Tamandua tetradactyla: one gene and its partner. The protein of the gene in region 2 binds, or shares a complex with, the protein of the main gene of each other region. Links are inferred from orthologs where the notes say so. Each region holds a gene or a part of one and is shown on either strand. Other genes may lie near its edges.

The links. Proteins that work in one complex are often made in the same cells at the same time.
Region 1: TREX1 (region 2) and nucleoside diphosphate kinase A share a complex: the UniProt entries of both Homo sapiens proteins name them as parts of the SET complex. The link is inferred for Tamandua tetradactyla from reciprocal best matches to the Homo sapiens genes TREX1 and NME1.

What each region holds. Positions count from the first base shown.
Region 1 is NC_135332.1:32,271,310-32,278,812, reverse strand, and holds the start of nucleoside diphosphate kinase A, read right to left. Parts: upstream 3,039-7,503; 5' UTR 2,911-3,038; intron 1,272-2,910; exon of another isoform or gene 1-1,271. UniProt on the Homo sapiens protein: Major role in the synthesis of nucleoside triphosphates other than ATP. The ATP gamma phosphate is transferred to the NDP beta phosphate via a ping-pong mechanism, using a phosphorylated active-site intermediate.
Region 2 is NC_135341.1:37,817,604-37,824,785, forward strand, and holds TREX1 (three-prime repair exonuclease 1), read right to left. Parts: upstream 2,511-7,182; 5' UTR 2,194-2,510; coding exon 1,987-2,193; intron 1,748-1,986; exon of another isoform or gene 1,722-1,747; coding exon of another isoform or gene 1,638-1,721; coding exon 777-1,637; 3' UTR 502-776; downstream 1-501. Other genes in the region: ATRIP (ATR-interacting protein), read right to left, coding at 2,737-2,804, 3,210-3,462, 3,677-3,757, 4,204-4,295, 4,446-4,582, 7,127-7,182. UniProt on the Homo sapiens protein: Major cellular 3'-to-5' DNA exonuclease which digests single-stranded DNA (ssDNA) and double-stranded DNA (dsDNA) with mismatched 3' termini. Prevents cell-intrinsic initiation of autoimmunity.

The DNA.
Region 1 (7,503 bases), on a different chromosome or scaffold from region 2:
CATCACAAAATGAGTTATAGACATTAAATAATCACCGTAAGACTTGGTAAAAATCTAACAAAATTCAATGGCTGTGCAAACCTGATGTATACTGGTATGAATGTGGGAGATGTAAACATAAAGTGACCAGGCAGATAACCAAACAGACCTACTTTCAATGTTTGAAATGACTGAAGGAATAAACCACATAAGGTCTAGAGTGTTCATAGTTCCTGGGATTTTAAATTCTGAATGATACTAAAAATATACAAGTATTGTGCTGGGTATTTTGGCAGCTAATCTCTCTAAATTTCTTATATATTGATAAGATTGTGGCATAAGAGACTTAAAAGAGGACTTATAACTCAATACTGCATGATTTCAGGAAAGGTCAACTGTCACAAATGATAAGCCCATTTTAAATGCTGACCAGCAAGAAATCTTTTGCTAAGTGTCCAAACAAGCTGATTGTAACCTAAACATAGAGGCTGCAATTCTGTCAAACTTGTAGCATGGTAAAACTGCTTTTCAATACTCCTATGGAAGCTTCAACTGGACTTATTCACCGACATGGTGGCTAATATGTACGACAAATTAGGTTCTTCCTCTCTCAAGTTCCACTTCCAAGGCAATGGCATCAGGCACCCCAGTTTTATTGAATGCAACAGTTGTTTCTGTGACCACTGGAGTCTTTGAAGCGCAGCCACATCTTAGGACGATATTTCTCCAAATACAAAAGCTGCTTGCTGTTAAAAGCTCCACGCCGCTTTTGTCTTATGAACTGTACTGCATCTTCATATTTCATTCCACCTTCAATCAATGCTAGGGCAACAAGCACTGGAGCTCTCCCAAGACCTCCAACACAATGAACAGCAATGCAGCCACCAGGTTCTTCACGAAACTTAATTTTTACAAGACTTAACCAATCATCAACAATCTGGTTGGATGGTGGTGCACCATCATCAAAAGGCCAATCAAGAACATGGATGCCTTCTTTCTCCACAAGAGCAGTGTCATAAGTTGCTTAACATACTCTCACTATTGTGCTAACGCCATACTTCTTAAGTTCCTCTACAAATTTGCTTAAGGTTGCATTGGTCGGATTGTGTGTAATAAGAAATCTCATGTTCTTGTATGTGACTTCCACAGGAGCTGGGCGGTTCATTCGAGCCATGTTAATTTAGTTAAAAACACTCAAAGGGCTATGAAAAAATTTTAAAAATTGAATACAGAAACGATGTAAAGAAACTGAAGTCTACTTCAATATACTCCACTTGAAATTCTCAGTGCTTTGAGTATGAAGTTGCGAGGAATGGGAAATGAAATGGACCTCCTAACAAGAAGCAGCGATTCTTCAATCCAGTAATACTGAGGCAATTTAAAGTAGTGCACTGAGGTTTACCCCATCCAGATCAGAACTCTTGTAAAATGCTCTGCAGATTTCAATTCAACACTTCTGTGTCCAGGTTAACCACTCTTATGGGGGTTTCTTGGTGGAGTACTAATGAGTTCTACAGTTCACTTGTCTGCATAGAGGTCGTGCTGTGCCTGGCAGTAATCTCCGCTGCCCTTCAGAAACTCCACAAATGTGTGACCAAGAACACCACAGAACTGAGGAATATGTTTACTCATTGAAGATTGTGGCCTAATCATACAGCTGGTTCCAAGGCGGCGGCGAAACAGGCAGTGGCTGCAGGACAGGGGGCGGTGGTGGTCGTCGCGGGGTGGCAGTGGCACCAGGCTCCCTCAGTAAGTTTTAAGTACCTACTGTATACCCAATACAGTGACAGACTAAGATAGGGGTGTAAAACTAAGACATCCTCTTTCTCAATAATCCAGATGGGGAAAACTACATGTGAAAATGACATAGGGTAACAAGACAGTAAGAAACAAGGTTTGACCCAGTGCCACAGCCATGGTATTAGAACTGGAAGGAGTTTTCTAGATTGTTTCATTACAACCCCTTCATTTTACAAATGAGGAAATGGGTCCAACCTGTTTCCCAACCCCAACCCTATGCAACTTATGCTATACCCTAAGATGCAGTGAATATTCTGACTAGCGGATAAACAATAGATGGAGGAAGAATTACAGTCATTAGTAATATCTGATATGAGATTGTAATTTCACAGATTACTGTGCTGGAAAGGAGTCTAGAGAGCATCTAATCTCGATTCTTCCTTTTACAGAGGAGAATCAGCTCATGACCTGCTCTGTGTCAACACAATGAGAAAGGCCCCTCATCTTGGAAGACAATCCTTGATGTGGAGAGCAGCCACCTCCTGACTCTTGGCCTTCATACTTTACTTACGGCCTATCACAGCACCTTAACATTGTATTTGAATTTTCTGCATAAATGTCTGGTCTGTGACCTGCAGAGAGGGCTGGTTTAATTCTGTGCGAATTTCCAATACCTAGCCACATGGCCTAGCACTCAGGAAAAGCGAACAAAACGTCTTAAATTATTATCTCCCCTCCCCTCGAAAAAAGAGATACCAAACCTCAAAGGCTATCTGGAGAACCCCAGATGAAAGCAAGGCTTTGCCAGGAGAAAATGGGGCTAAAAAAAAAAACAGAAATCACTCCTACAAATGTCCCTCTCCAAACCCCGCTACACAAACACTGTGATTCACTCAACAAACCCCGCGCCAACTATTGGCCAGGCACTGTTCTTGAGAGAGTCAAATAAAGCACAACCCCAGACCTCGCGGCCCGGTGTGAAAGGCAGCCACGTACAAAGGCGAGTCCACGTGGCGTGGGAGGTGCACTGACAGGTTTGCACCTGCTGACAAAGGGTCCTCATCCCTTCCCTTCCATCTCACACACACCTCCCCCCCCCCCCGCCCCCCCGCCTCTCAGGGCGAACGTCAAACGCCCTCTTCATCCCGGACCCCATTCTTCTTGCTATTCCAGATCCGGAACCCCTCTTACCCCTCCAGCTGCTTGGCCTTCAACTCTGGCTGCTGCCACAGACACCGGAAACCCGCCCCGGCCCCACGTGGTTCCCAGCACTGACGGACACGGAACGCTTCTGCTGAGGTCTGGCAGGGAAGGTCCCATTTTAGAAGACACCATTCGTCCACGCTTCCTTCTATGGGTAGGATGTCATTCTAGGGCGCAAACTTCCGATGTTTAATTTCCGGCACTAGTTTCGTGCTCTTCCGGCAGGCGGCCTCGTTTTTGTTTTGTTTTGTTTTTTTAAGCAAACTGGTACCGCCGAGAGGTGGCGCTCAGACCATTCACGAAGTCTGAAGGAGCGTCTTACATAAATTTGACGTACTGCTCCCTCATATTTATTCAATCCTTTTTTCAGCAAGTCATGCAATAAATAATTGAGTACCTACCATGTTCTAGGCAGTATTCTAGGCCCTGGGGATATAGCAGTAAACTCTTGGGGTTTCTGGTGGGGTTTTGGGGAGAAGGGGGGCAAGCAATAAGCAATAAATTGATATGTAGTATAATAACGTTTTATGTAAGTGCTATAAAGAACAAGGCAAGGGGAAAAAGTTAAAGAGGAAGGCTACATTCAAAGTCTAGTTGGAAAAGAAAAAGTCTAGTCGAGGAAATCTCTGAGGAACTGACAGTAATAATAGACTAGACCTGAATGAAGTGGGGGAGCATTCCAGATGACTGAAGACATCCAGCGGTAGGCATCCCATTGGAGAGGGGCCAGATTGTGGTAGGAAGTCATTGTAGGGTTTGGAACAGAGAATGACATCATCTTATTTTTTAAAAATCATTCTGACTGCCGTGAGGGGAATGGATGAAGAGATGGGACAAAAGTGGAATCAAGAGACTTTTCACCAAATGATACTGGAGCCATTGGACATCTACAGGCAAAAAAAACCTTGACCTAGACCTCACAGTTTATATAAAATTCACTCAAAGCAGATCATAAAATTTTAAACTATAAAATGTCTAGGAAAAAAAGAAGAAAATCTTCCGAGCTGAGGGCTAAAGGAAGAATGTTTAGATTTGACAACAAATGCCAAATCCATAAAAGAAAACAGTTAATAAATTAGATTCATCGAAATTAAAAGCTTTTGCCTTGGGAAAGACTTTGTGAGAAGGATGAAAAGACAAGTTAGAGTGGGAGAAAATATTTGCAAACCACATATCTAATAATGGACCTATACCTAGACTATATAAAGAACTTTCAAAACTCAACAGTTAAAAAAAAATTAGAAAGTAGGCAAAAGACAGGTCATTTCGTTGAAGAGGATATACAGATGGCAAGTAAGTACATGAAGAGATGTTAGACATCATTTGCCATTAGGGCAATGCAAATTAAAACCACAATGAGGTATCACTATACACTGTCAAATGGCTAAAATGAAAATTTAGTAACAACACTAAATGCCGCCAAGGATGCAGAAAACCTGAATCACCCACAATGCATTGCTGATAGGAATTTTAAATTATATAGCCGCTCTTGAAAACAGTCTTGCCGTTTCTTGTAAAACCAAACACGAATTTACAGCATCACCCAGCAATGGCATTCTTGAACAGAATTGAAAACTTATGTTCTGTTCACACCAAAAATGAACACAATCACACTGAACACAAATGTTCGTAGCAGCTTTATTTGCATTAGTCAAAAATTAGGAACAGAACAGGTGGTCTTTACTTGGTGAATAGTTGAACAAACCATGGTACATCCAGACCATGAAATACTCAGCCATTAAAAAAAAAACAGTTGATATATAAAACAACTTCAATGGATCTAAAGAGAATTATGCTAAGTGGAAAAAAAGATAAGGCAGTGTCAAAAAGGTTGTATACAGTATGATTCCATTTATATAGCATCCTTGAAATAAAATTAGAGAAATGGAGAACAAATTATGTTTGCCGGGAATTAGAGATGGCAGGGTACAGGGTATGAATGTGGCTATAAAGGAGCAGTATGAGAGACTTGTGATAATGGAAGAGTTCTGTATCTTGATTGTGGTTGCAGTTATATGAATCTACACATGTGATAAAGTTGCATAGAACTAGACAAATGAGTATGTACAACTGGTGAGATATGAATGAATTCAGTGGATTGTACCAATGTCAGTTTCTTGGTTTTAATATTACACTATAGTTATTCAAGATTTTTCCGCTGGGGGAAACTAAAGGAAGGTACACAGGATTACCCTGTCCATTTATTGGAACTTGGTTTGAATCTGCAATTATTTCAAGATTTTTTTTTTAATGTTAAATGAAACAACAACAACAAAAACAAACCAGTTTGGGAATACAGTAGTAATCCAAGTAAGAGATAATCATGATTTGCAATAGGTGGTGACAAAGGAGATGCAAACAAGTGGTTAGTTACAGGAAATATATTAAGATGGAGCCCATAGGTCTTGCTGATGGATAGGATGTGGGGTATGAGAAAAAGATAACTAGATGAAGAATCCCAGGTTTCTTTTCTTTTTCTTTCTTTCTTTCTTTCTTTTTTTTTTTTTTTTTTTTTGGAGAGGGTGCATAAAATGTCAGTTCAATACAATTATTTACAAAATCCTTTTCAGTGGTTGCAGTCCACTATAGTAATGTTTCTAAAAGTTTTATGTATAAAGAAATCACCTAGGAGGGCGGGCCACGGTGGCTCAGCAGGCCGAGTTTTTGCCTGCCATGCCGAGGACCCGGGTTAAATTCCTTGTGCGTGCCCATGCAAAAAAAAAAAAAGAAGAAGAAGAAGAAGAAGAAATCACCTGGGGAGTTGTTAAAATACAGATTCTGATTCAGTGAGTCTGAGAGTTTGCATATCTAATAAGTTCCCAAATGATTCCAATGCTACTGATTGGTAGATTCTATAAGACCATGTCCTAGAGACAGATTCATTTAAATTGATAATTTAAGCCTTATTAGTCGAAGAGGTTCTTGCCCAGGCAGATACTGAGGAAGAGGTATAGGGAGTGGAAAATAGGAAGATCTCATCTGTTCCTGGAAGCCATCCTGAATACATGACTCCACCCTGACCGTCCTTTCCCAATCCTACAACAGCCCTCTGAGCTTCCACAGGTAAATGTTTCTGTGAACCAAATCAGAAAACTATGTCTTAGTATACACAGGTGGTTCAGTGGTAGAATACTCACCTGCCATGCAGGAGCCCTGGGTTTGATTCTTGGCCCATGCACCCACCCACCCCCCCCCAAAAAAGAAAAGAAAACTATGTCTTTATAGAATTTCAAGTTAAAAGGAATCTTAAATAATTTGTGACAAATCACCTCTTCAGAAACCCTGACAAGGAATCAGCCAGCCTCCTCTTGAAATCACTGACAGTGGAAATTTATACCTAAGGCAGTAGTAATTCACTCCTTTGCACTGGCCTTCCACCCCCTGCTAAATAACTCTTTAATTAAATGTATCCACAGCCCAAAATAATAATAGAGGTGAAGTTTAGTGAACTGAACTAATAATATCAAGTATTGTGGGCAGAAAAAGAGAGGTTGCTAGGTTGCCTTGATGGGGTGGTGGAAACATTTTATAGAAGAGATTGGATTCAGATACCCAGAAAAAAAGTAGTAAGTAGATATATCTGTAGGAATTGGGGGATTAGGAATATAGCCAAAAGCAAAGGATGCAAGAAGGAAAAAGTAAGAAATTTCTGAGAAACTGATTAGATATTCCTAATAGACTCTCCCATGGAAAAACAGGGGAAAAGGTCACCAGATTAGTGACAAGCCTTGAATGCTAATCTAAAAAATTTAGACTTTGGGCTATAGTTAGTGGAAAGCCATTGAAGTTTTGGAGGATAAGACAGTGGCTTATCAGAAAATGTTAAAATTCTAGAACTCAAAAGACCATTGAAGGCCCCAATCAAGATAAGAGAGTGAGACACTTCAGGGCTCCATCCCCCTTGGAAGCTTTGAACAACCAGCATGAACCGGCAGAAACATCTTTCTAAAAGCTCCAGAAAACAGTTAAAGGATTGTATTAACGGGGCGAGGGGCAAATCAAGAAAAGGCTACTTAAAAGATGTAGGATTTCTTCAAGCCCTGGCTGACGCCTCCCCAAACCTCTCACTGGCTTGGCATGGAGACAGACCATGCACCTAGTATGGATCCCCAGTCCTGGTTCCAGAAGGAGTAGAATAACCTTATGCACATACTGGGAACATGTATGTGTCTGGCAAATCTATCTGGTGTGGTCTGAGGAACTCACTGTATCAGAGCTTGCCCTGTGTGTAGAAGGCAGCTCATAGAATACTCCTACACAACACTGTGGGAGAGCAGTTAAACTGTGGTGCCTAAGGCAAAGGATTGCTGGTTGCAGGACATACAGTTTAGTGCTCAGGACCATGAGGAAACTGTTTCCTAGAGAACAGGGGACATCATATCCATAAAAATGGGGAATTCCTAGGGCCACATGTACATGCCCAAGCCAAGACACATGTGCAGAAAGAATTGGAGTAGCCACTCTGCTTTGGCATGGAACACTCACACAAATCAATCTACAAAGCCTGGAAAGGTGCTTTCTTTTTTTTCCTTCTTCCTCCCTTCCTTCTTTGCTCTTCCTCCCTTTCTCCTTCTCTTTCTC
Region 2 (7,182 bases):
TTCCTGCCCTTGCTGGCCCAAACTCCTGCCACAGGTTGGCAGGGTGGCCTCTGTCCGCCAACAGACTCAGGTCTCTTCCCTGCAGTGTTTTACTTTTAGCCAAATATTACCCACTGTGTTCTGTTTCCAAGTGTGTGTGATGTTTGCTGTGAGGCTGAAACCTCTGGGTCCTGGGGAGAAATCGTCTTACAGAAAAGAGGAAATATAGCTTCTCGTAGTCCCTACTTCCCCAGACACCACCCCTACGGTGATCCAGCTTCTTGAACCTCAGTCCACAATTCATACTGGCAGTGGGGACACCTGGACCCAGGGGCCATCTGGACCGAAGGTGGGCAGTGCCCTTGGATGGCAGCTCTGGCCTAGACATGAATACCCTGGTGTTCCCCATCCCTTTTGTTAATGTTTCACCAGAAATGTCTTAGCTTTGTATCTGCTAATGTGTTTCTAAGAAAGGATCTGTGGTCTATATACTTCTTTATAATAAATACAAATTTGGAGCGGCAGCCCCTTTCTTCATAGCCTTGGCTGTTGGGATGTACCATTTCCATTCAACACTTACAATTTCAGTTTTTGACCAGGTTCTACTTTTATTGGGCTTAGACTTCTGACCATCCTGCTGGGAAGGGTGGAAGACAAAGACTGTGCCACGGTCTGTGATCTCCCCTCCTCCCCCAGGTTCCTGTGTGGGCAGAGGCCCAGGTTGCAAAGGAGGGCAGGAGGCGAGTGACCAGGTAGTGCTGTTGGGGTCTTTATTAGTCAGATTTTCCTTGTTGGCCTTACTGCCCAGGGATACTCAGGGACAGCCCATACAGTATGGCTATTAACAAGGTCAGGAGGGTCAGTAGGCCCAGTGGGGCCAGCAGCCCCTTCTTGGGTAGGGCTCCAGGGCCCTTCACTGGAGGAGGAGACTTGGACTTCCTGCCCACCCTTGTGCTGGGACTGGTGTCTTTGGGTACAGCCAGGGGTGCGGTGGCTTTGGCAGCAGATGACCTAGGGTTGGTCCCAGTGGAGGCTGTGACCATGTACATGGGTTTGATAGTGCTGAAGGGCCTAGCGTGAGCATCCACCCACCGCAGCAGGGCCTGTGGCCTCCACTGACAGATGCTGAGCAGGGCCAGGACGTCACCCTCAGCTGTGTGCGAGTCTGGTGGGCTCTGCCCAAATAGGCGTGTGTAGATGCTGCCCAAGCTGTAGCTCTTTCTTGGGCCATGCGCAGAGGGGCTGCTGCCTCGCTCCAGGGCCTTCAGGGCAGCGATGCTGTCCACGCAGAAGGCACCATCCAGTGTGTTGGCAAGGCCCACTGCAGCCAGCTCTGCCTGGAGCAGGGGGAAGTCATAGCGATCACCGTTGTGTGCTACCAGGCACCAGGGCTGTGGCTGGCGTTGTAGGAAGGTTTGGAGCAGGTTGGCCAGGTCGGCATTGAAGCGCTGCCGCCCATGTGCTGCCAGCATAGCCGTGCTCAGGCCCGTGATGTTGCTGGCCGCAGGGCTGCAGACCTTCCCTGGAGCCACGCAGAGGGAGAGCTTGTCTACCACCCGGGGTAGTGGAGGCACTGTAGGGGTTGGCCCCTGGGGCGCAGGGGGGCTCTCCAGGGCACATCTGTGGATGGCTAGCAGGCACAGTTCCGTGACCTTGGGCTGGGAAAAGGGCAGGCCAGTGGCCTCCAGGTCCAAGAAGATGAAGGTCTGCATGGGACCCGGGGGTGGGGCCTGTGAGCCCATGGTGGGGCAAGTACCTGCCGCTGAGCCTGGGGAAGGGGTGGGGCATTGTGAATGCTCCTGTGGAAAAGTTATCTAAGGTGGGGAGGGCAGGAAGCTGGGGAGCGGGGGAGCTTCCTCAGTGGGAGCATACACTCTATCAGTTTGGAGGGAGGGTGGGCCTGTCTTCTTCATGTGGGTTTGGCCCCCTCCCCCAGTGCTCACCTAGCCTGGTGGGGCTCCCCACAGCCATCCACCCTGTCCCATCCCCCTGGGGGTCTGCACTCACCGAATAGCAGGCAGGCACAATCACTCTGGCGTGCTCTGGCTGGTTCTCGCCAAGGGCCAGCAGTGGCGGGAAGTGAAACTCAGCCTTTGCCCGCCCACAGGCCCGCGTGAGCAAGGCCCGCCCTGCTCTTCTCTTAGCCTGCCTGGGCCTCTCTCGCCAACACCCGTTCCCTCCCCAGGCAACCCTCCCTTCCCCCCTAGCTGCCATGGCACCCTTAAGGCTTCTTAGATCCACAGCTGTGGACTTGCCAGCTGACACCAACTGAAAATACAAGGGGTGCCCAGGCTGTCTGGGGAGGCTAGCTCCATGACTCAAACACTGCTGGGAGCTCCTGCTGTGACCCTTTTGTGCCCACCCCTCGGCTCCACTTTCCCAGACCTCCCTGGTTTAGGCCTGGGCTGAAGGCCACCTCCTTCCCTGCCTTACACTGATTTCTTCCCATGGCCCCAGCCCAAAACAATGACTCAGGACAATTTCACAGGCTGGGCAGAGCTCTTTCCTCAAAGCAGATTAGTTACCATGGGGATGGGGTCTCAACTCTGGGCAGGGACAGGAGGAAGGATCCCAGCCTTCCCTGGGACCAGTCCTGTTCCATCCCTCCCACTCAGACAAACACAGACAGACTCAGGAAACACAACACCAAGGCTGGCATGTTCTTGGCAAGAACAACCTGTCACAGCTTTTAATCAGTTGATGAGATGAGGAAAGCAGGAGTGCTGGCGCCACCATGTGGCATGATGCTCACGGACCTCAGCCACAGTCCATCTCGGGGTCGTCTACATCTGTCTCAGCAGCACAAAGGTCATCCAGGGCTGCCTCTGAGTGAAAAAGAGGGTTCTATGATGAAGGCTTGAAAGTGCTGGGGAATAGGGGAGGTCCCACCTCTCCTCCCCCAAAACCCGCAGGAACTAACCAGTCCCTTCCACGCCCAGGCCTTGCTCCCTCAGCTACTGCAAGCAAAGTGATACAAAGGCAATTCAGATAGGGATATCTCTGGAAAAACCGTGGCTCTGCCAGGCCAACTCAACAAAACATATAAGCAAACGGCAGTTCAACGTGTCTAAAAGAACTGGAGCAAGACAATGAGACTGTCGCCAGTGTTGTAAAGAGCTGTGGTGGATGGAGGACTGCTGAAGGAAGGCAAGAAGTCTAACCTGTCCATGAACTTCAGGGAAAACCCCACATGAGGGCTAGGACAGGGCTGGGTTCTCTTGCCCACTCACCTTCACAGTCTGTCACATCAGGGAGCCCTCGAATGAGCGTGCTGACCCCTGGCATCACCTGGTCATACTGATGCAGGACCTCCACGCAGTGCACAGTAAAGAGCTTGTCCTTCTGGGACAGGCTGTGCAGCAGCAGCACTGTGTCCCGCAGACATCGTACTATTCGCTTATGCCGGTCAGTCTTTGGAGGCCCCTCTGCCCTCCGCACCGTTAGCCACTGTCTGTGCAGCATCACTGTGAGTGCTCTGACAGCCTGGTGGAGGGTGCAGACTGAGGTCAAGTCTTTCAGCTGCCTGCACCCTAACAGCTCACGAGGCTGACCAGCACATTTCCCACCCACCCAGGAGAGGAAGGTTCTGAGTGATGGGTAGCATGATTAAAGGGAGCATAGGGTCCTTGCCCAGGGCCACCTTATCCACCAACAGAGCTGCCATGCTGTCAGCCCCTGCCCGCCCCTGTCCACTCACCTCCACATTGCACTGGCAGTTGGAGCCAGTGGCTGGGGAGGAGGGGCTCTGCACACCAAGCTTAGTCAGAAGCCACACCGCCTAGAACAAGAAGACTGTTCTGTAGCCACCATAATGAGGCCCTGATTATAAGCAAGGGCTTTCTCAGGCTTCTAAAAGAGCTCCAGCTTGTTTGCACAAATGGGGTCCAAGGGTGCTGGGCTTTTCTGGGCCAGACTCACAACTGTCATGTGTCTCTCCAAAAACCCCATTTGCCTCCAGGTCCTGCTCAAGTCACCAGACCCAAAGTCAGAACAGGCTTAGTCATCAGGTAACTCTGGCAAGTCCCAGGACAACCTGGCATGCACCTGCATGGCATGGGGTCCCCAAACCAAGTTCACCTCCTCAGCTGCCTGATAAACTCTTACCTAAATGAATTAAAGCTCCCACGCTTCTCAGGATGGGAAGGATAGAGAAAGGAGGTTCCGTGGGGCCTTGGCATGAGTGGGATGGTGAGCAGTCCCTGGAAAGGTCTCTGGAGATTTTACCTCTTGTTCCAGCTGAAGCCACTGTGTCTCTGAGGCCACTCTGTCAGGCCTTGATGTGATGTACGTGTACAGCAGAAGGAGGAGGCAGCCTTCTGAAAAGGATGCCCACCTCTCACTCAGAGCCCCCTTCTCACCCAGAGCTCAGGGTATGAGCTGCAGAAGCCCCCAGGAGGCCCTGACCCTCCACAACCTTTCCCTCCAATCTGCAGCAGCCCAGATGTCCACCCACCACCCCATTTTACCTGAGTGGGAACAGAGCTGAGGGGTGAGCTTCTCGTGGTCCACCAGGAGAGAGAGGAGCTTAATGGTCAACAGCACACTAGGCAGGGGTGTCTCTGGGCTGAGACACTGTGGCAGCACCTGGAACATACACTGGAACCTAAAAAACAAGGGTCCAGAGAGATGTAACACTTCCCAACCCCAATCTACCATTCACCCTCACTTTTCACTACAGGCAATGGGAAATCAGATCACAGCAGTACAAAGAAGAGACTCAGTTCATCCAGACTTGGGTTTGAATGCTGACTACCACCTACTTGCTGTGAAACTCATTTTTTTCATGAAAACAGGGGTACTGACCTTTATTGGACTGCTGTGGTTAGAGATGACAGTCCCTCACCTGATACTGCATCACGCAGGAAATGGGAGCAAACTCCCTGGACCCAGGAGGCCTGGCTTCCACCCAGCTCCTGGGCTCTTTCTTGCCATTGATACCAAATATGGTACAAGCCATTATTTGGTGTGAGAGAAATATTCTAGGCCCACCATCAAAGGACTGAACAGAGCTCCTGCTGTGACAAATGTGGACTTCACTATGGTTGGAACCGATGAGATCACACTCAGAGCAAGGAAGACCATTTGTCAGAAGACATCAGGCTCCTCTGCTGCCAAGCGTGAGGTGTCTGCAGTGGCCTTGTGCACTGACGAAGGGCTCTAGGCACACTCTCTCCCAGGTCCCAGGGGCAAAGGGATGACTTTTACCAAGGAACCAAATCCCAACACAACCACTGCAGTTTGCACAGTCCACACAGCTCAGGGGAGTATGAGGCAGGACTAGCTTGGTAGGTGGGAGGGCAATTCTAAAACAACCCCTGGGTCTAGCTTGTGCATACCTTTCATGCACCTGCAGGGTGTTAGCACAAAGCCCAGTGGACCAAAATATTCCTCAGTATGTCATTAGAAGCAGAGTCTCATTCTATTTTGGGTGAACTCATTTAGAGCAAATCCTACACAGCAGACATGCTACATGTTCTTCAGTTGCCAAGTTATGTGGGATTTTGTGGGAAACTGGAATTTAAATAAGGTTAGAACTGATTCCGAACTAGTCCACTAAAGCCCCTGAAACTACTTGGGCGAAAGTCCACCTTCATATATGACACAGGGGTTTCCAATTTACTTTTCAATAGCATGGGAACCTTCTTTTTAAGTGAAGTTTTTGGTAAAGTTCCAATATACCAAATAGGTAACACGCTGATCTGGTTAAATTGGGAGTGAACTCTTATTTGCTCAGAACCCCTGCCAGTCCCTGGGGAACAACCCTGGACCCCTAGGGCTACTAGAGACACAGTAGGAAAGATAAAGATATGAGGGGATAGTTAAGGACCATAAGACAACTGCAGCCTTCTTGATTATTGGTATTGCATCACATTGCTTTAGAGCCTTGAGAATCCTGTTCCTGCTTGGTTTTCACTCCAAAGCAGACAGGCAGCCATGTGGTAGTGGAGTTCTACTTAAGCACAAAAAGCAGGAAAGAATTCTGAAGAGACTCACTGGTGTGAGACAGTGATCAAGGACAATGACTCTGGAGACTTGACACCTGGCCTGAAACTCACCCTCATCCATACTACACTTCCTACAGTTTAGCATTTATTCACTCACCAAATACTTACAATAAGCCAGGCTCTGCACTAGGTATGAGGAAGCAGGGCTATGAGGGTGTCACGGGAGCTAATGAATGGAAGGCCGCTGGCACAGTATCTGGCCTATAGTCAGCACTCATTAAATGGCTGTTTTTAAATGTCCTCGTGGAGAAGCTCAACAGGAATGGAATGTTGGTGTGCCTGCCAAAAAAGCTGGTGAAAACTTGGTTTCTGGAGTTGATTCATTAAAGAACAAATATGAAATGAGCAATCAGCTACTATGAGCTAAGCACCAGGGTTGTGTCCCCCACTGTGCCGCTCCTCCTACACTGCCGTACTGTGTTCAGAGTGAGCACTGCTTTCAGGATGGACCAGACCAATCAGAATGTATTCAGATGCAAACCAGAATCCAGCAGTGTTTTAAGGAACTCAGAGATGAGAAGACTTAAGATACTCCTAGCCAGTGGAGTCATTCCAACCTAGGAACTGGCCCCTTGGAGTGCTCTGCAGGAGACTGAATTACTGGATGGAGGGTGGGCTGCAAGGTGTTTACAGTTCTTCCCAGTCTTGAGGTCCTGGCATCCCAAGCTAGGATTTTTCTACCACTTCCAACAAACCTCAAGAGGAACAGGAAGCAATCTGTAGCTCATGCCAGAGGCAGGCACAGTGATGATTAGACTCCCAGCAGGGCCCACTCCCCATATCTTCTGCTTCCTTACGGAACCCTACCAAAATTAACTGTGGCTGTGTGGCCTTCACCTGATCCATGCCCCAGGTTCAAAGACCTCTTGGTTCAGCCTTTGGTCCTAGGGGCAGGACCCTCTTCCATAGTAGCTAACAGCTTCCTTTTCTTATGCATGCCTTCTGTTTACCTGCTGTACAGAAGCAGAATTAAACCAAATAAACCACTTTCTTGGTTCTCCCAACACCTAGCCCTCCCTGAACCAAGTCTTAGAACTGAGCAGGGTAAATAAATCAAGGATGGGAACAAAGTACAAGAGTTCACAGGCTAGACCTCGTAAGTAAGACCCATAAGGAACCATAACTCCCACCCTGCTTTATACCTGGGCAAAAAATCAAACGAAGCATTTTCAGCTAATTTCACGAAAACCTTAAGACA